Ovis aries: one gene and its partner. The protein of the gene in region 1 interacts with the protein of each later gene in a biochemical or structural test. Links are inferred from orthologs where the notes say so. Each region holds a gene or a part of one and is shown on either strand. Other genes may lie near its edges.

The links.
Region 2: the proteins of RPS6KA1 (region 1) and GRID2IP interact in a test that uses a peptide from one of them, tested with the Homo sapiens proteins (2 studies listed by BioGRID and IntAct, with this or other methods). The link is inferred for Ovis aries from reciprocal best matches to the Homo sapiens genes RPS6KA1 and GRID2IP.

Annotation. Positions count from the first base shown.
Region 1 is NC_056055.1:240,328,214-240,338,759, reverse strand, and holds the start of RPS6KA1 (ribosomal protein S6 kinase alpha-1), read left to right. Parts: upstream 1-5,583; 5' UTR 5,584-5,598; coding exon 5,599-5,814; intron 5,815-6,973; coding exon 6,974-7,018; intron 7,019-10,546. UniProt on the Homo sapiens protein: Serine/threonine-protein kinase that acts downstream of ERK (MAPK1/ERK2 and MAPK3/ERK1) signaling and mediates mitogenic and stress-induced activation of the transcription factors CREB1, ETV1/ER81 and NR4A1/NUR77, regulates translation through RPS6 and EIF4B phosphorylation, and mediates cellular proliferation, survival, and differentiation by modulating mTOR signaling and repressing pro-apoptotic function of BAD and DAPK1.
Region 2 is NC_056077.1:38,809,115-38,819,453, reverse strand, and holds the start of GRID2IP (delphilin), read left to right. Parts: upstream 1-4,239; 5' UTR 4,240-4,245; coding exon 4,246-4,659; intron 4,660-10,339.

The DNA.
Region 1 (10,546 bases):
AGATTCTGGAGAGACATGGCTTGAAAAGAGCAAAGCACACGTATTAAGATATCAGTCTGGAGGCACTGTGGGCCCTGATGGTGGCGAAAGAAGATCCGTACCCTGCCCGGAGCTGGGGCGCAGGGGATCCCACTGTCGCTTTGGGGGTGTGGGAGGGTGGGATGCGGAGAGTGTCCTAGGGCCTCGCAACGAGGGGAGTACGGCTCAGGCTCCTTTCCTTTTCCAGCTTCTCCCTGGGTCAGGCCTAGGACATTCGGTGTGACTGGGAGTGGGGGGGAGGGGCGGCGGTGGTTTGAGGGGAGATAGGGGAGGTAAAGGGAATAAAGGGGTACAGGCCCGCTGGAGAGAGAGGGGGCATCTGGGGAGCTATTCCAAATGAGCTGAGTGTGGGGCGGTTTGGGCCCCGGGGACCGGGCTTGGGAGGGAGGAGCCAGGAGGGCCTCTCCTGGGTGGAGGGGAGCGTGGGCCCGGGGCTCACGGTGGAGGCGGGGCCCTCACTCCCGGCGTGGCGGAGGCGGGGGTCCTCCCTGGGAATGCCGCGCCGCGGGGGCTGGGGCGGGGCTTCGCTGTCCCCGCCCCCTCGCGCAGGTAGCCAATGGGCGCGGCGGCGCCGGGTGACGGAGGGAGCCGAAGTGCTAGTGCCGCGGCGGCGGCGGCGGACGGCCCTGCCAGAGCAAGAGGGTCTCGGCGGGGAGGAAGGGGGCGCTGGGGCCGCTGAGCGTGGGACCTCAGAACCCAGGAGGCGGCGCGGCTCTGGCCGCCGGTGGAGCACGGGCGGCCCGGCGGCGGCGCGATGCCGCTCGCCCAGCTCAAGGAGCCCTGGCCGCTCATGGAGCTGGTGCCGCTGGACCCGGAGGTGAGTGAGCTGGGCGGGGGACGGGCGCCGGCGGCCGGCAAGCCCGAGTCCCCGCAGGGGCGGGGCGGCTCGCGGCGCCGCTGTAGCCTGGCGGGCGCCCGCGAGGGCGCGAGTGCCCTCCGGTCTCCAGCCTCGTCTCCGGCTCCACCCCCTAATGCCCCGTGTGTGTGTGCGCGAGGGACCTTTCTGCCAAGCCCCGAGGAAGCCCCTTACCCCGGAGAGCGAATCCTGTGCTGCGCTTAGATCTGACCCCCGCCTCACCCCACACACACCTGGGACCTGTACCCGGAGCCGTCGGAGGTTCCTTCATTAGGGCAGACGGACCTGGGCTGGGATGCCAGATGTCTTGGATTCCACGAGACGAGGGTCATGGGAGCCCCCTCCCCCGCGCCCCCTGCCAACTTCTTGATGTCTCACAGCGGCCCTACCCCAAGGGCTCCCGGCGTCTCCGCTGCTGACCTTAGAAGGATTTCCTTCTTGATCGTCGCAGTTGTGGAATTTGGGGTGACTCTGCCCGTCTGGGACTGAAACCCTTGGTTTTCTTTGCTCCAGGCTAGGGTCAGAGGACGCCTGTGTCACCTCTCCCAGGCTGGAGAGAAAAGAATGGGGAAAAGTCCTTAGACCTTTGAGAAAATTATTCCTGGAGATGAGGAGGTCCTTGGTTCCTGCCCCCTCCCATAGGAAGGGTTGGGCCTCTAGGGAATTTGGCCTTTGCCTGCCTAGCTTCTCCCAAAAGCAACTTTTGCCTCCTGAGGATACTGTGGTTTAGGCCCTAACCTTGCAGAAGGCCTGCTCTTCCTGTGCCCCCCAGGGTCAAGGTCAAGCCCTTGAACTGGCAGATGGAGAAAACTTTCCCCTCAGCCTCATTATGGGAAGGACAGTGGGTGATACTGCCTTTCCAGGGGTATGTGGGGATATGAGGGAGATGATGGAAACCTCAGAGAGCCTGAGACCCAAAGTGATTTTCTTCTGGCTGGGGCTTGGACCCCTCCCCACTTAGATCCCCTCCTCTGCCCTCTCTTACCTGGGGCAACCACCAAGTGCCTTGCCCCTCAGGGCTGCTGGTTGGGAGCTGAGTGAGGATCCTGGGTCCCCAGCACCCGGAGTGTGCTGCCCCTTTAAAGGGATGGTCACCGCTGACACTGGCTATTGGAGGGTGGGCGCGGCAAGATTAGGTAACCAACCTGAAGGCGCAATTTGGAGTAAATTGCTCTGGGATCCCTGCCATGGGGTTTTTACGGGCCCTGCACAGCTCAGAAGTTCTCCCGCTGACTCACCCTCCGAACTGAGGAACACGGCCCTCTGCAGCCCCTAGCCACGGGCTGCCCACCCTCTAGGACTGGGGCACAAGGGGTTGGGGGCGGCGCTCAGAGGTAAATTCCTTTGTCCTGGCACACACTTGAGACCTAGGCCTCCCTAGAGGAAGGTGGACTGGGAGAGGCCAGGGAGGGACTTACTGTGGGTTATACTAGTTGGGAAGGCAGACACCCAGAAATTCAATTCCCAGTCCAGGGCACTGCTTCCTGCTTCTCTTTGGGAAATCCTGAGGCAGGGACCAGGTTTAAACAGGAAACTCAATTCAGTTTTAGTCCTACTCCACCTGAACTTTGAGAGGAAAAAAAGGCAGGCTTATTTCCTTGGTTTAGGGGGGCTGTGATTTCTCCAGGAGCTTCACCTTGAATTTGCTGTGTGACCCTCAGTCAGTCCATAGCCTCTCTGGACCTCTGTTTCTCCACTGGCCAGGGCTGGGTTCTGGCCTCTGCTTTCTGGGCCTGAGAGGGTACGGAGGCCTAAGGAGTGCTGCCCATTTTCCTCCTCCCCACTCCATGGAAGTGCCAGGCGACTCGGTGTTATTGTTTGGGTAACAGGAGCCATGGGGCGGCCAGGGCGCGGGTTGGGTGCAGGTTCTTACTGGAGAACAGGGCCTTGCTGTTCTCAGCCCAGGTGACACGTAAGTGATACGGCACCCTGACCTGCAGGTACAGGCTCCTGGCCGGGAGGGAGGCAGGCCGAGGGGCTGGGCAGGGCATTTGGCAGAGGCCTGGGATCTGCCCTCCCTGTGAAGCTGCCGAGAATGGGCTGCTCAGAGGCAGGGCCTTGTCTGGGGTGTGGCCCAGGTGGAGCCACCCCACTGGAAGTGTGGGTGAGGATCCTGCCGGGGCCTTCCCCTGGCCCTGCTGGGCTCAGTAACCGTGGCCGCAGGCCCAGCCTTGCTGTGCAGAGCTTTGCTCTGTGCTGTCCACCGCACTCCACCAGGGTGGCCTTATTAAAGTCAAATAATTCTGCAAACAGCTTCTCAGGGTAGGGAGTATTACCTCTGTCATCATATGGAACAACTGAACTCAGAGGGACCTGGCCTGCGAATTAATGTCAGAGTCAGAATTAGAATCCAGATCTCTCGCTGTCTTCTACCTAGTAGGGGGGAGACTTAAAGACAGGCAAGAGCTGGGATCAAGCCGGCCAGGTGGAAGGTACTCCAGGAGAGGCTCCGGATGTTGGCACACTCTCCTGTCCAGCCTTGGCTGAGGGCTAGTAGTTCCCGCCAGCCCTGGCACCTGGCCCCCAGCTTCCAGCAGCGGGCAGAGTTGCCAGTGCTGGGCTCTGAACCCAACTCCTGGGGCTGCTTCCTGCCTATGGGGCACGTGCTGTCTTTGTCCATCTGCTGCCCAGCTTCTCCAGACACTGCCCCGGACGCTTTTTTTCCCAAGACAGAGTGGCTTGGGTGGGAAGGAAGGATGCTTATTGGAACCCATCTCTGACCTCTGGGGAGGGGGCGCAATGGCCTGGGGGCCCTCGGTCGCTGTGCCCATGAGTATTGCTCTCTGAGGAAGCGGGAGGAGAGAGTCTCCACCCTCTTAGGGGCCAGAAGGCCTTTCCTGTAGACTCATAGACGAGGTCTTCCATTCAGTATTCTGCAAGGTCAGTATCATTGTCCTCATTCATTCATTCAGCAAGTGTTTATTGAGCACTTACCATGCGGCAAGTACTTCTCCAACCAGCAGGGTGCCACTGTGAACAAGACAGACCTGCCCGCCTAGTACAGGTGAGGAGACCGAGGCTCGAGAAGTAATGTGACAGACACATTCAGAGCGAGTGGCTGGCAGAGCCGGCAGCAGGGGCTCTGTCTCTGTGGCTGCAGACCTGTGCTCTTTCCACCCTCTGTACAATAGTCAGTCCGGAAGGGCAGATGCGCCCTGTCTTCCCAGGACCCTGGCTTTCAAGGGGAAGGTCACCTGTGGTCCTCTCTGCACTCCTAGTGCTCTCGCTAGGGCCGCCCATTTCCCCCTAGAGACCTTGTGCATCAGCTCTTACAGGCCTGGGCGTTCCATGAGGATGGCACCCAAGCCAGACCCCGGGACTGGAGGCAGCCAGACAGGCTCCCTGAGTCCTCCAAGATACTGCCCTGTAAGCGCCCACCTCTGGGTTCACCCACCACCTCCTCCTGTCTCTCACTGGGGATTCACGTGACTCTGGGTCATAGCCCCATGTCTGTCACCTGCTAACAGAGAGGCCACAGTTAAGTCACTCAGCTCTTCTGAGCCTCATCTGAAAAATGGGAGGAATAGAACCTACTCTGGCCTCCTTGCTTGCTTTGCTGGTTTGAGGTTTCATTTGACAGGCTATGTGCCAGACCCTGAGCTGGGTGCCAAGGAGACAATACCGGACAAGCCGTGGCTCCTCCCTGAGTTAATCTGAGGTTTGCTCGGTGCTGTGAGGCCCAGAGGAGGGAGGAAAGGACTTAAGGCTGTATGGACAGAGGAGAAGACATTTAACCAGGTCCTCAAAGAAGACCAGGAGTGTGCTGGAGTGACTGGGCAGGAAAGACTTTCTTGGTAGAAGGAGCCACCGTGCGAATGCTTGGGGACAAGCTGGCCTGTTCAGGGTCTCAGCTTGTTCAGTTTAGCTCCAAAATCGGGATAGTAATAATGGTGATTGTTTGTGGACCAGTTATATGCAAGCTGTACTTTTTTTTTTTTTTTTATATTTATTTAGCTGTCCCAGGTCTTAGTTGTAGCACTTGGGATCTTTAGTTGTGGCATGTGGGATCTGACCAGGGATCCAACCTGGGCCCCCCTGCTTTGGGAGTGTAGAGTCTTGGCCCACTGGACCACCAGGGACGTCCCTGGATGTATCTATTTTATAGACACTATTTTGCTTGCTTCTTAAAGCTACCCAGTGAGGTACATTACTTTTATCCCCATTTCACAGATGAGGAAACTGAAGCTTTGAGAAATGCAGTAACCTCAGGGTTATGCAGGTGATAGAAACCAGAATTTGAACCCACAAGGTCAGATTCCAGAACCCACATTAATCACCTGTGGGAGCTGGAGATGACGGCTTTGAATGCCATACCAAGGAGCTGGGACTTTATCCCACAGGCAGTGGGAAGCCGTGGAAGAGTTTGAGGCCTGGCACCTAGAAAGTTCTCAGTAAGGAGTAAGTGAGTGACCAGGGGAGTCACTCAAATGTAATGGTTGCAGTTGAGTTTTAGGAAGGGTGAGGGCTTAGAATGGGGGAGGCTGGTGTGTAGGCCCTTGTTACCATCCAGAGTTATGTCAAGAGTCTGCAATGCTGGGTGAAGTGGAACTCCGTCTACGAAGGCCTCACGCCTCCTCCTCCCCTCAGGCCTGGTTCCACCCAGTCCTGCTCCCCAAGCTCCTGAGAGAGAACACGTATGGTGGAGCCTCAGAACGCTGGCCCCTGGGGAGGATTAGGGGCATTAAGGGGGTTCAAGGGGCAGGATGTCCAGGGACTGGCGGGGAGGGAGTGCTGCTCCAGGAGCAGGGAGATTATATAATGGGGAAAGCACAGCTGTGCCTGCTGCTGCCAACAAGACTGCAGCTGCCCTGTGGACTTGGCCCCTGGTCCAAAGTCCTGGGTCTTCCTGGTCTCTCCACACTCTTGCTGCACATGAGGGCTGGAGACCGCTCCGTTTAGCTTCCCAAGGCCCGGATGGGGTAGGTTACTCACTTCATATCACACAGGAAAGGGGTGGTATACCCAGGGTGGACAGCACCCAGCGGAGGGTGAAGTCTGGGGTCTGGAGGACTGTGCAGGGGTGAGCTGCCATGCCTGCATCTCTGTTGCCCTGGCTGGGCGCTGGGCTCCTCTTCCTCAGTCTCTTGAGCACCTCCTGGTGTCAGAGACCGGATTTTGAATCCCCGCTGAGCAGCATTGTGGCTTAGGTGCCGTCACTAGGCTTCTCTGCGCCTCAGTTTCTTTCTCTGCCAAATGGGACCCGGGCCTACCTCCCAGGTCAGGAGGGTTTAATGGTGCCACAGATGTGAGGTACCAAAGCCAGTGCCGGCGTGCAGCAGGGGCGCGGAAGAGAGCAGCTGTTAGCACCAAAAGCCTCATCTCTGCCTCCCAGGACTTCCCGTTTATTAGGAGGGGCTCCCAGGTAAAGAACCTGCCTGCCAATGCAGGAGACCTAAGAGACATGAGTTCAGTCCCTGGGTGGGAAGATTCCTGGAGAAGGGAATGGCAACCCACTCCAATACTCTTGTCTGGAGTAGCCTGGCAGGCTACAGTTCATGGGGTTGCGAAGAGTTGGACACAGTTGAAGTGACTTAGCACGCACGGCCCACGAGTCCGTAGTCCCTGCATTGTGATAAGTGGTAAAATGAAGGTTCATAGGGAGTAGCAGTGATTCTGCAAGGATGGAGAGGGGTCCCAGAGCAGGCAGGGCCAGAGCATTTCTGGGCTGGACACTCTCCCAGACTTTATGTCCTTCAGCCCTTGCATCAACTCTAGGAGGTGGATGTAAATACCCATGTTACGGATTGGGAAACTGAGGCCTCTTGAGTTGGTTAGTTGGCACACACCCACAGTCCTTTCCTTCTCACTGGGAGGAGATGGCATTTGAGCCGGACCTTCAAAGATGAGATGTTTTCTAGGCAGAGAACATGGGAGGGGTGCCCAAAGCGGGCTACCTGAGTTGGGGCGATTGCAGAAGGCTTGAGGCCTGTCCCCTCCCAGAACTCCCGCCCCCACCTCCAGGGCCCCTCTAGCCACTGGGAGCATCCAAGGGCTGGGGCGCCCCATAGGGTCTGTCTTTGCTTTGTGCCACTCTGGTAAGTTCTGACAGTGTTCCCCACTCTCTCCTCTCTTTTCCAGAATGGACAAGCCTCAGGGGAGGAAGCTGGGCTTCAGCCATCCAAGGTAAGGGCCAGGCCCTAGCACCGGAGCTAGGGATCGTCAGGGGTGGAGTGACTGTTTGCCTGGAGTGGACAAGGAAGGAGGCACTGACCTTGTCCCGCCCAGGTGTGAGGCCCCCTGGCCCAGCTCAGCCTTCCTTCTCTGAAAGTGAAAGTCACTCAGTCATATCCCACTCTTTGCAACCCCGTGGACTATACAGTCCATGGGATTCTCCAGGCCAGAATACTAGAGTGGGTAGCCGTTCCCTTCTCCAAGGGATCTCCCCAACCCAGGGATTGAACTGCGTGTTGAAGGTGGATTCTTTACCATCTGAGCCACCAGGGAAGCCCAAGTCCTTCTCTGGGCCCACCTAATGCTCGAGGCAGCCCCGTATGTCAGGATTACTTGCTTCAGCCTTCCGGTTCCTCAGGGGAGTGGACTATGGCCCAGACAGGGTCAGAAGCCAGGCTAGAACTCAGGTTTACCCGTCCCCCAGACCAGGACGCTTCCTCTGCTTATTTACTCGTGGTGGCTTGGCTGACTGTATTAAGAGGGTGAAGGGGTGATGGGAGAGGCTTAAGTCCACTGGGCCTGACGAGGGCATGGCACCTGGTGCTGGAGGGAGCCTGGTGGCCTCCAGTCACACCAGGGCCCAGTGCCTGGCGTGGGGCACACAGGCCGTTTCTCAGGCCCCCTCCCAGGCCGGCTCCCTCAGCTCTACGCTCTCTGCTCCCCTTGGGTCTATCCCTTCAGCCCCCAGGGCCTGTTGCTGGTTTTGTGTGTTGACAGCACTATGAGGCTGGGGGACAGTCTGGCCTGGGCTTTCTCATCGCCGTGCTGGGAATGGCCTCACCCAGTTCTCAAGGCGTTGTGAGGTCGCAGAGCTGCTGGCTGGGGAGGGGCTGTGGAAGCCACCAGGCAGGACAGGGCCTGAGTTCTGGCGGTAGAGCCTACCTGAGTTCTGGTCCTGCCTCCACCATCGCCATTTGACCTGAAGCTTCTCCCTTCTGAGTCTGGTTTCCTCAGCAGTAAAATGGGAATAATGGTACCTGCCTCCTACCTCTCAGGAGTGACGTGAAGAACAGATAGAAGAGCAGCTGCCTGGCACACAGTAGCTTTAGTCCTGGCAGCCTGAGTGCCTGGCCGTGTTGCTCAGCTCCATTGCCTGTTAGTGGCCGCGCCCTTCTGGCCTGGGTCTGCTTAGGTACCAGACCATAAGCCTGACCTTTGAGATAGACTGAGGGCTGGTCCTGATGTTTGTCTTGACTCAGCCTCCTAAGATAAGGGAGCCGAGTTTCCTGGGGTAGGGCAGGCCAACAGAAGTAGGCTCCCACCCCTCCTCTTTTTGTTACTATGGCAACCTTGGGTCACCAAAGGCCAGGCCGAGTCATGTGGACTGAGCCCCTTGACTTGTCTCAGCCCCATGTCTCAGCCTCCTGTGGGAGAATCTCTTCCCACCAAGTAGCTGCTCCTGGTTGCCTAGTAATGAAGGGACTGTAGGTCTCCAGTGAAGGTCCAGATGTTCAGATCTTGGGGCTGTAGTTCTAGGGGTTGCAAAGGTGCCTGCAGCTTTGAGGGAACTGGTGGTGAGTACAGCTTCTCACCTCAGAGCTAGAGGGGCTGGTTAAGAGAAGACAAGCACTTACCCAGGTGGACAAACTACTCTTGATCCCAAGTCTGTGATTCCTTCCTGCTTCTGGAGCAGATCCTGGGGTGGGAAGGGAGATGAAGCTGGACGTGGATGGGGCAGGGAGAGCCTTGAATGCTACGTTAAGGGAGAGAAAGTGCCATACCAGGAGCTTTGCATTTGGTTCTCATAACATCCCCAGAGGTAGAAACTGTTACTCTCCCCATTTTACAGATGAGAAAGTTGAGGCCCTAGGTCAGATCGCTAATGGGCAATGAAGTCAGGTCTTGCTTGACCACAGAACCCACATTCCTCCCAGCCCAGGAGACACACTGAGTGCTGAAGAGGAGGAGCACTGCGTCCCCGTGAGCACAGTTTCCGTCATTACTCGGCACCTGCTCGTTCACCTTCTCTGTTGCTGCAGAATCTTGTAGCATCCCCAGTGCCCACTTTTGGGCTCAACACACCAGGGGGCGCTCAGCCTGTGGTCAGAACCTCATCGCTTTGTGCAGTGGAAGGAGCTGGTTTATCTTTTGCATCATCACATGTTCATGGCACTGGGAATCCCAAAATGAAGTCAACACCCCACCCTCAGGGAGTTCTCAGCATTGGGGAAGGGTGGTGACAAGAAAGCTGTGTGGTGGGTGCAGTGATGGGGAGGAACAGGCTGTGGGCACATAGAACCTCCATTCAGTGCCAGGCCTGACAGTGGGCAGTGAAATATACCACCTTCCTACCTGCCTCTCTGGGGCATGATGAGATGAGCACGTCTCAGGGAACCCAGTAGCATCCACTCTCAAGGTTGAGGGTGGACCAGATGGACGGGCACTGCTGTGTGTGGCAGAAGAGGAAACGTGGGCTGTAGGGCACCAGGTCACCTTCCCCGCAGAGCTGGTGTTTGCCTGGGCCTCGAAAGCCGGGATTTGGGCAGCTGGAGAGAGAAGTGGGCCTTCCAGGGGGAGGAGAGGCCTGACTTGGAGGAGAGGCAGGCTCTCTGAGTTCAAAATTCTGCTCCTCTTTCTTATTTGCCAGCTGACCTTGGGCGAGTTGTTTTACCCCTCGGAGGCTCAGATGCCTCTTCTGTAAAAGGAGAATAGAGTCCACCCGTCAGGGCCACCCAGAAGGAGGGAACGTGATGTGCATAAATTGGAGCATCCAGCAGTGTTTGAGACATCATATTGGTGTTTAATGCTTGTTTATTTGATCCGTTTCAGGCAGAAGAAAGGATTGGGGTTTTAGCAGCTGTAGAGAGGACTGCAGTCTAGGATGAGAGCTCCCCGTGTGCACCTGGTCCTTCAGGCATGCTGGGGCTCCATTCACCCTCCCTCCCTTCCTGGAGGTGGACTGGGCACCCCAGGCCCCCTCCCTGGCTATCTCCGGAGCTGGACCCCTTGGAAGCGCCTGCAGGTCTATTTTGAGAGCTGAGCGTCTCTCCCCCTCCCCTCCTCTCTTCCTGTTTATGAAACCCTGATCCCTCCCGGATCCCTCATGCTCCCCTGGCTGGAGCTCAGGCAGGATGTGATTGTGGACTTCGGGGAGCCTTGGGAGTCTCAGGTGTTGGGGGGGAATTTCCCTGGGACTGGCCGGGGAAGGCTCCCTCACCCTCCACCCTCTCAACACCTGAGACCCATGGACTCTGTCCCTTCAGCCTGCCCAGAGGAGCCCCTGCCGCAGTAAGAAAGCCCTTGCTGTTCAGGGAGTTCTGTTTACCACATCCCTTTATCTTTGTGGCCCATTTTTGCTTCTCAAAACAACCTTTTGAGGGTGCGAACATTTTACAGAAGAAACTGAGGCTTAGATAGGGAGTGAGGGTTGCACGGGAGCAAATGAGTAGACGGTTCTTAACTTCCCACCCTGCCCTCCTGGCCTCTTTTCCGTGCTGGTCTTTCTCTATATGGAGTGTCTTTTTTCCTCCTCTCTGCTTG
Region 2 (10,339 bases), on another chromosome or scaffold:
TGCATTCATGTTCACTGAATCTGTATCTCTCGGGTAAGTATATACCTGAGAGTGGGACCGGTGTCATTCGAAAAGTGTTTCGGATGTTCAGCCTTTCATGAAACTGTCAGACAGTATTCCGTAATGGTTGTACCATTTTACATTCCCATCAGTGGTGTCAGGGAATCCATTCTTTTACCACGTAGAGAAACACCAGGTTGTTAATCAAGAGGACGAAAGAGCAGCCCAAGTAAATCAGCCATGTGACCACCTTGGTTTATGTCCAGTTACCACGCAGTACAACAGTTTTGCAGCCTAACGCATTCAGAGCTGCGCTTGAAGATGAGTTCAGTTACAGCCTCAGTCACCCTTCCACCAGGCTGGGGACACTCTTGTTCACTCATGGGTTGTTTTTTTCCCAATGATATACTGTTATCATCGTAGCAGAGTTTATAATGTACGCGAGACTAGAGCACACACACTAGAGCACACCCATCTCACACATACACACCCAGTCACACACGCAGTAACTTGGAGCACCTTTGGTTAAAGCAAGCTCTGGAGAGCATCCAGCTCAATCACGGCGACCTGTTAAGGACATCTTCTAATCTATCTGATCCCCATCCCCCACATCCTGAGAAAACGATTTAAAAATCAACTTTTAATTCTAGAACAGTTTTAGGTTTGCAGAAAAGTTGGGATACAGTATGGAGTTCCCTCTTACCCTGCACCCAACGTCCCCTATTGCTGTCATCTTACATTACTGTGGTCCATCTGTCACCACTGAAGAACTAATGTTGATCCATTATTATTAGCTAATTCAGATTTCCTTACTTTTCACCGAAAGTGCCTTCTCCATCCCAAGATCCCACACTGCATCTAGTCACCACGTCTCCAATCTGTGACAGCTTCTCAGACTTTCCTTGTTTTTGATGACCTTGACCATTTTGAAGAGTCAGGTATTTTCAGAACGTCCTTCAATCTAGGTTTGCCTGAAGTTTCTCTCATAGGCAGACTGGTTACAGGTTTTGCAGAGGAAGACCACACAGGCAAAGTGCCATTCTTGTCAATCATATAAAGGGTCCTTGCTATCAACCTGATCTTCCCCTGATGGTGATCACCTTGACCACCTGACTGAGGTCATGTCCATCACTCTTCTCCACCGTAAAGTACTGTCTCCTCTTTGGAAAGAAGTCGCCAAGTATAGACCACACTTAAGGGTGGGAGTTCTCCTTTAAGGAGAAGTAGCTTGTCCAGGTGATTGTCTCTTTTCCCCACTTATTTAACCAGTTATTTATATTAGTGTAAACTTGTTGATATTTATTTTATACTTTATGTTACAACCCAAGTCTATATGATTTACATTCTTGCTCAGATTGTTCCAATTTCGGCTATGGGAAGCCCTTTCCTTTGGCTTCTGTGTCCCTTTGACAAACCCCATGGTGCGTGTGTGTGTGTGTGTGTGTCCACACGTGCTTACTCTCTGGCACTAGAAGATGGTCCAGGCTCACCTCCTGTATTTCCCGCCCCAGCCCTGGAATCAGCCATTTCTCCAAGGAGCCTGGGCTCCTTGTTCTGGGCAGGGATCTTAGAAATCAAGCTTTCACACTGGATGTGCTCATTGCTGGGGGGAACATCCTTGCTTCCAAGCCCTCTCAGCTGACAGAGCCGGCAAACTTAGGTGCAGATACTAACCTCTGTGGGCTCCCCAGGTGGCTCAGTGGTAAAGAATCCATCGGCCATGGAGGAGACCCAGGTTTGATCCCTAGGTCGGAAGAGTCCCTGGAGGAGGAAATGGTAGCCCACTCCAGTATTCTTGCCTGGAGAATCCCGTGGACAGAGGAGCCTGGCGGGCTGCTGTCCATGGGGTCACAAAGAGTCAGATCCAACCGAGCACTGCCACTGCCACTAAGCTGTGTCCATGCGCATATCTGTAAACGTTTCTGTCTGTTGTAGGCTCCTCTGCAACCTCCCACTACAACGCAGAGGAATCCGGCTCCCGTGGTCTGCGGACATAATCGCTCAACGCCCATGTGCATGTATGGCATGATTTCAGAACTGTTAACCTGCACCCTTGCAGGGGCCACCCTTACCGTCTAGAGCACAGTGTTATGCGTGGTTCCTTTTGCCTTTCGTCTCACAGACCCCGGTCCTTTCCATAATTACTTAGGTCAGCATCTTTTCTCTCATCCCAAGCTCTTTTTCTGGCCTGGGTCTCCCCTTCTCCCACCACTAAGCCTGGCCTGTGGGGCTCAGGCAGTGGTGTCCTCTGTGGGGATCAGATCATGCCTCAGTGAGTCTCAGTGGTCCCCTCTGCCATCACTGGACTGAGTGAACCCCCATAGAACCCCCAAAACAGCCCAACTGAATCCTCCTGACGCACCTGCCGAGCTCTGCAGCCTCAGGGGTGGACCCAGCCCCAGGCCCAGCTCTGGTCAGTCTTGGCTCCTGCCTGAGCCTCCCTGTGCATCCCCCCAGGACCGTGCAGCAGGAGCCAGCCACTCTGGGTGCTGGCCAAGCTGTCCAGCCATGCTGCTGGTCCTCCTGGTAACGGGGGCCTTCTCAGATTACTCGGAGGATCACTTTGCCTTAGAAACTCCAGCTGTCACCTCTGATGCATTAGTAACCAGTGCCAAGGCCCTGAGCAGCAGAGGACTGGCAATAAGCAAGCGTCCCCAGGTGTCCCGCCAGCACCGTGCTCTGTCCCCACAGCCATTGCCACCACCAGGGAGGAAGGTGAGCAAACCCGGAGGGAGGCGCGGTACCCAAGATTCTGGGACGGGTAGCCTGGGATGCCTCCCCTGGTGAGCCCTGTTGGGAGCCTGGATTCCTGTTTCCAGGTGAAGGGGAAAGAGGGGAGCTCTACATGGATGGGAGAGGGCTTAGGTCAACCTGCAGGGCTGAGGACGCACTGGAGGGCTGGAGGCATCTCAAAAGCGCCGAGGGGTTTGAGTGCCGGCAGCCTCTTCAGCTCTGTGGCTCCCCAGGTTGGGTGTAGACAGGTTGGGAGCAAGCTGCTCTGGCCTCTGAGCAGCAGCCCTGCTGCAGGTCACCGGTCAGAGCCAGTATGCACGTGGAAGGGGGGCAGGGGCCTGGCCCCATCAGTCTCCAGCCAGCACGCCTTTGCCTGTGAACGAGCTGACTGCTTGACTCACGGGGCAAGAACTGATCTCAGGCCCCTCCAAGACCCAGGGATGCCCCGACCCCACCTGGGCCCAGTGGACCCAGGAGTCCCTCACTGCCCCCATGTGACAAGGTAAGTGTCCCTGAGGCTCCGTGGCAGCACCACTGCCTGGCAGAGGAGGACCAGGGCCCCCGCGTGGGCTCGGCAGTGAGCCTGCCAGCCTCGGGGTGTGGCAGCCCCACCTGACCCAGTGTGAGGAGTTCTCACACCAAGCCCTCTGGTGGCAGGTGACAGGTCCCACTGGATGTCACTCAAGGCCTTTCCTCCCCAGTCCATGATACTCTTGGGGCCTCCTCCCTGCCCCCAACTCCAAGTGTCTTGGGAGAGGCCAGCTCCTGGGAGATGGAGCCAACAGGAACACAAAACCCGTAGGGTGGGTGGGAGGGCTGTCTAAACATCTTCAGAAGGCTGAGGGGGGGACCAAAACCAGGGCCTTCAAAATCCAGCCCCGAGAGGTTCTTCTAAGCCAGAGGTTAGAATTCCTTAGAACTACGGACTCTTCCCCCAGAAAACTAAGGCTTTACATCATATCTTACCTACAGTTTCAGCGGTCATCCATGGATGCCTGTAAGGAATCTCTGCTCTCATCAGACATATGGAAAAATACACAGATAGACTGTTCCATCCAGGCAGTCACCCTTGCCACCCCTGATGTGTTTGTGTCTCCAGCCCATGCCATCATCTGCTTTCAGAGAATAGAGCCACCTCCCCTCCCCTGAGCCTGTCCTAGAGCCAGGAGCCCAAAGGACGATCCCCTCCCCCACCCCAAAGCAGCCATATCATGGCTCCTCAAGAAGATCAATTCAAAAGGCAAATAACCCCCAAAGTCAGCAGGAGTTTGTGAACTCCTAACTACTGAGGGGAAGTCCTTTTGTCACATTGAAACTGGTGACTTTCAGGCACAGCCGGGTCCAGGAGGTCAGGCGATATCCTAAGAACTGATGGTCCACACAGAGGCCGAGGAAGAACAGTGGCTCAGACTGGCACATGCGTTGAGTCTGAGCGGCATGCAGCCCTGTGGGCAAGGCCGCAAGGAATCCCCTGTGACCTCTCTCTCCTCCAGCTGCACGGCCACCACTGCCATGCCGGCCACCAACCAGGGATGGCCAGAGGACTTCGGCTTCCGGCTGGGGGGCTCGGGTCCCTGCTTCGTCCTGGATGTGGTGGAAGGGAGCAGCGCACACGCCGGGGGTCTGCGGCCCGGGGATCAGATCCTGGAGGTGGAGGGGCTGGCTGTGGGCGGCCTGAGCCGCGAGCGCCTAGTGCGCCTGGCCCGGCGCTGCCCGCGCGTGCCGCCCAGCCTGGGCGTGCTCCCCGGCCCCATTGGCTGCCCCGGCGCGGGTTCCGGCTTCGAGCCGCTGACCACAGCCTTACGGATCCCGCGCTCAAGCCGCGGCCTCTATCTGGGCCGCGAGTTGCTACGCCTGGCCGGCCGCAAGCGCCCCGACGCCGTGCACCGAGAGCGTAGGCGCAAAGCCCAGGAGTTCAGCCGCAAGGTAGGGCGCGCAGGGCGCGGCAGGGCCCTAAGGGACAGGCGGTCTGGGGTGGGGCTCTAGGGACGCTGTTCTGGGGGACTGGGCCCCGTGGGCCCGGAGCGTCAGGAGCCAGGCAGGCCTTCCTCAGGCCAGGAGTGGGAGCCTGGAGCTAAGGAAACATCTAACGAAAGATTTATCAGAAATATAGTGATGCTCAAGCTTCCAGTCCTGTCCTAAATTTTCGTGATTTTTGTTTGCTTGATTTGTGGGAGTTGCTTTTCTTTTTCTTTTTTTAATTAAGGTAATACAGATATACAGTAAAGCACATTCATTAAGCGTACAGTTTAATGAACTTTACATAGGGCATACACCCTTGTAACCACCAGCCTGATCAAAATGTAGATGAATAGAATACAGACAATAATATTAGTAGAATGCAGAACATAGAATGATTCCTTCAACCCAGAAGATTCTCTCCATCTCAATATGAAGCTCCAAGATTCCCTGTAGAAGAAGAGAGCCTAGAAGATTGTCCATCAACTCTTAAGGACTCCGAGGGTGAGCGGGGCGGGGTGGGGGCGGGACAGGAAGCGAATCCCTGCATTTTCAGTGGATATTCATTGGCCAGAACTAATCACACCACTGATCCCAAAGGATGCTGGGAAATGTAGTCCTCTGTGTGTCCAGGAAGACGGGAAGACCTAGAAATGGTTTAGTCACTAAGTCGTGTCCGACTCTTGCGACCCCATGGATCCGCCAGGCTCTCTGTCCATGGGGGTTTTTCAGGCAAGAATACTGGAGTGGATTGCCATTTCCTTCTCCAGGGGATCGTCCGTCCCAACCGAGGAATCGAACCCAGGTCTCCTGCATTGCAGGCAGAGTCTTTACCGGCTGAGCTATGAGGGAAGCCTCTAGAAACATTGGTGAGCCCTAGTGCTTTAATCAGAGAAGGCAATGGCAACCCACTCTAGTACTCTTGCCTGGAAAATCCCATGAACGGAGGAGCCTGGTGGGCTCCAGTCCATGGGGTCAAGAAGTGTTGGACACGACTGAGCGACTTCCCTTTCACTTTTCACTTTCATGCACTGGAGAGGGAAATGGCAACCCACTCCAGTGTTCTTGCCTGGAGAATCCCGGGGACGGGGAGCCTGGTGGGCTGCCGTCTCTAAGGTCGCACACAGTCAGACATGACCGAAGCAACTTAGTAGCAGCAGCAGCAGTGCCTTAATCTGTTCCAGCTGCCGTAACCGAACTACCACAGACTGGGTGGTTTATAAGCAACAGGATTTCCCTCTCACAGCTCTGGAGGCGTGAGATTTGAGAACAGGGCTCCAGCATGCTTGAGTGTGGGCCTGCTTTGGATTGCAAACTTCTGGTTTTGTCCTCCCGTGATGAAAAGGGCAAGGGATCTGTATGGGGCTCTTTTATTTTTTTATTTTTTTCAAAAAAAGGTTTTTTATGTGGACCTTTTTTTTTTTTTTTTTGTCTTTATTGAATTTACAGCATCGTTTCTGTTTTATGTTTTGGTTTCCTTTGGCCAAGAGGCATGTGGGATGCCTTACCTCCCCAACTAGCAATCAAGTCTGCACCCCCTGTGCTGGGAGATGAGGTCTTAACCACCAGACTGCCAGCAAATCCCTGAGGCTCTTTTATAAGGGCACTAATTCCATTCATGAGACCGCCACCCTCATGACCTAGTCACCTCCCAATGGCCCAGCCTCCTAATACCATCATCGCCCGGGGCATTCGATTTTCAGCACACAAATTTTGGAGGGGGGGGACACAAACATTCAGACCACAGCAGCTGGTGAAGTCTGCTTCATTTCACCTGGTAAAGTCATCCCAGATGACTCAGTGTAGACCCAGAAGTCCGCCCCAGACGCCATCCAATCCCTGGAAAGTCAGAGGGGAGGTGGTCAGAGCTCCCAGGTGAGCAGAGCGGACTCGGTGGGGAAACAAAGTCAGGCTGCGGCCTAGGGAGGAGTCTGACCAGCTGCCCAGGCCAGCTTCTGCGCATTCTCTGACAAGGGGAACAGGGAGTGGTGGATTCTGGTTAGAGCTCGCCAAGCAGCTCCATAAATCCCCAGAAAAGACCACCTCCAGAAGATCAAGGGCAGCTGTGGAGCCCCCCACCAGCTTCCGACAATCAGCTCTCGGGTTCTCGCCAGCACTCTCCCTGCCCCAGTTTCTCCTCCTTGCAGAGCCTGATACTTAATAGAAAATCCATTAGTGTCCCGTGATGGTGCCTCATGCTTCGATGTAGGTTGAGAGCGTCTGGGTAATAGCTGACACCAAAACCGCACTGTGGTGGGGCCCCAGGAGGGAGGAGCTATTTTTTCCTCTTTCTTACATAAAACATCTTTCCAGAGAGCCATGTTCTCCTTTGAAACGAGGCTGCCGCTGGCTTTGGCTTCAAAGCCACTGACCTTCCTGGGCCTGGTGGGTTCTGGAGGAGGGGGTGACTGGTACTGCAGCCTACTCCGCGCACCTTGAGAACGGCTGGCCGCCTACAGCTCTTTGGTTGAGCTCTGTAAACGCTCCCTGAATGCACCAGGCCCTGTGCTCGGCCCGGACAGGAGTAAGATGTCAGGTCTGCATCTTGGGCCATCTCGTCTGGTGAAGGAGATCTGGGGTGCAGTTGCTAGGACTCAGCCGTGCACAGAACGTGGCCTTGGCCTGGGTGCCCTCGAAGCCGCCTGCTAATACCTGCTCACACTCTGTGATGTCACCCTCTCCGGGAAGCCTTTCCTCATCCACTGTGCTGCCGTTTAGGAAGCAGTTGTATATACAATTCTGAAGTTCAGGGGCAAACCATGGGCTGGAGGGCCGTCTGGGATCCCCTGGCCAGAGCAGCGGCGTCAGGGAGCGCTTGTGGCAAAGGGTGAGGGGGATTGCAGCGGGTCAGCACAGTTGTATGAAAATAGCCAGGGTCAACGGCTCTGGACAGAAAGAAGAGGCTGATAGGGTTGTGGAGTCAAGGGAGGAGTTTACTGATTTATTTATAGGCGGGGAGAGAAGCGAACAATTTGTATGAGCCAAAGGGAAGGAGGCAGTAGCGTCACTGAAATCCATGCGTTTTGCAGTTGTTGCTCACGGCGCTCTGACCAGCAAGGAGTGGGGACACAGCTGTGCACAGGACCAAGAGGGGAGCCTGCCATCACGCATTGTGGGAAACAAACGAAGCACGTGGACAAAGCGATGCTGTTGCTGTTCAGCCGCTCAGTCGTGTTCAGCTCTTTGTGACCCCATGGACTGCAGCACGCCAGGCTTCCCTGTCCTTCACTATCTCCCAGAGTGTGCTCAAACTCACATCCATTGAGTCTATGGACAATTCAATAAACTAGCTATTTCAGATGATGATCACTGAAGGGAAGAAATCAACAGGGAGGTGAGAGAGTCTTGGGGGCCACTTGATCAGAGTGGTCAGGAAAGGCTCCCTGAGGAGGGAACTTTCAAACTGAGAGCTGAGTGACAAGTAGGTGGCAGGAAGAGAGAGTGGGGACTCTGGTGACTCGGCGGCCTTGTGAGTTGGCCTTGCCCAGGAAGGGGGCAGGTTCTTCATCGTCTGAGAGTCGGGGGTGGAGGGGAAAGATGCGGGGCTTGTTGATACGTTTGGAGGTGAGTGGAAGGGGTAATGAATGGCCCCGGCTCTGGCTGAAGTTGGGACCCACATGGGCCTGAGAGAGACGCATGGCCGTCTCCTGGGCTCACCCAGCCGCCCAGCCTCCCACCTCTGCTTCAGGGTCGGCTCAGGATGTCAGCACCCAGAGGCACCCCCAGACCCTCGACTAACAAGGCAGGGAATCTGCTGGAGTATGGACAGACAGTGGTTAACTGCTCCATTAAAAAAGTAACAGTGCCAGACAGAAAAGCGCCCATGGTATAAGATTCCAGTCATGAGACATATTCAGTACAAGCAAATCCAGAGACGCTGAAAAATAGATCAGTGGTTTCCCCGGGGCTGGGGAAGGGGGGATGAGGAGTGACTGCTGAATGGGGGCAGGGTTTCTGTTTGGGAGGATGAGAAAGTCCTGGAACTGGAGAGTGGTGATGGTTATCCCGCATGGTGAGTGTACTTAATACCACTGACCTGTACGTATTAAAATGGCTGCAGTGGTAAATTTTATCTTCAGTTCAGTTCAGTCGCTCAGTCGTGTCCGACTCTTTGCGACCCCGTGGACTGCAGCATGCCAGGCTTCCCTGTCCATCACCAACTCCCGGAGTTTACTCAAACTCATGTCTATCGAGTCAGTGATGTCATCCAACCATCTCATCCTCTGTCATCCCCTTCTCCTGCCTTCAATCTTTCCCAGCATCAGGGTCTTTTCCAATGAGTCAGTTCTTCGCATCAGGTGGCCAAAATATTGGAACTTCAGCTTCAACATCAGTCCTTCCAATGAATATTCAGGACTGATTTCCTTTAGGATGGACTGGTTGGATCTCCTTGCAGTCCAAGGGACTCTCAAGAGTCTTCTCCAACACCACAGTTCAAAAGCATCAATTCTTGGGTGCTCAGCTTTCTTTATGGTCCAACTCTCACATCCATACATGACCACTGGAAAAACCATAGCCTTGACTAGACGGACTTTTGCTGGCACATAAATTTTATGTCATGTGCATTTTTACAACAGTTAAAAAATAAAGAGGGAAAGGGAACAACGATAACATGCATTCCTTTTCCTGATTGTATAAGTCATATAAGCTCACTGCCTAAAAAATAAAATGGAAACCTAGGGACTTCCCTGGTGGTCCAGTGGTTAAGACTCCAAGCTTCCATGCAGGGGGCGGAGGTTCGATCACTGGTCAGGGAACTAAGATCTCATATGCCAAATGGCCAAATTTAAAAAAAAAAAGGAAAGCATTGGCGTAAAAATAATCAAAATCACTATAAACTTCAGTGCATATTCCCTATGCAGATGTGTGTATAATTATCTCTGATAAAAATGTAACACTGTGTGTTCTATTTGAAACCTTGCCTGTCTCTCACAAACACTTTCCATTATGTTATAACAGCTTTATCAAGATATATTCACATACCATACAATTTATTCATTTAAAGTGTGTTCAGTGGTTCTTAGTATATTCACAGAGCTGTGCAACCATTACCACGATTTTAGAACATTTTCATCATTCCTAGAAGGGCTTCCCAGGTGGTGCTAGTGGTAAAGAATCCACCTGCCAATGAAGGAGACACAGATGAGGGTTTGATCCCTACGTTGGAAAGATCCCTTGGGGTAGGAAATGGCACCCACTCCAATATTCTTGTCTGGAAAATTCCACAGGCAGAAGAGCCTGGCAGATTACAGTCCATGGGGCTGCAAAGAGTTGGACACAACTGAGCATAATCATAACTACCCAGAAAGAAGGCCTGAACTCGTTAGCCATCACTCCGCATACCACAGTCTTTAAATAAAGACCTACAGCATCATTCTGTCTGACCAAATGGTACCACACTACCTCTGACACTGTCAATTGCAAGCCATCTAACCCATGATACGTGCTTCCTTATCTTCTTGTCACTTAATTTGCAGTTAATTGTAGTCACTTAATTTGATAGAGGGCTTTTAGACTTCTTTGGACATATTTAGTACCGGCAATGTATATAACTCTGTGGAAGTAACAATATGAGACCTATGACAAAACTCATACGTGCACAGGAATGACAGTGAGCCACAGGACACAAAGTGATCTCAGAGATGCT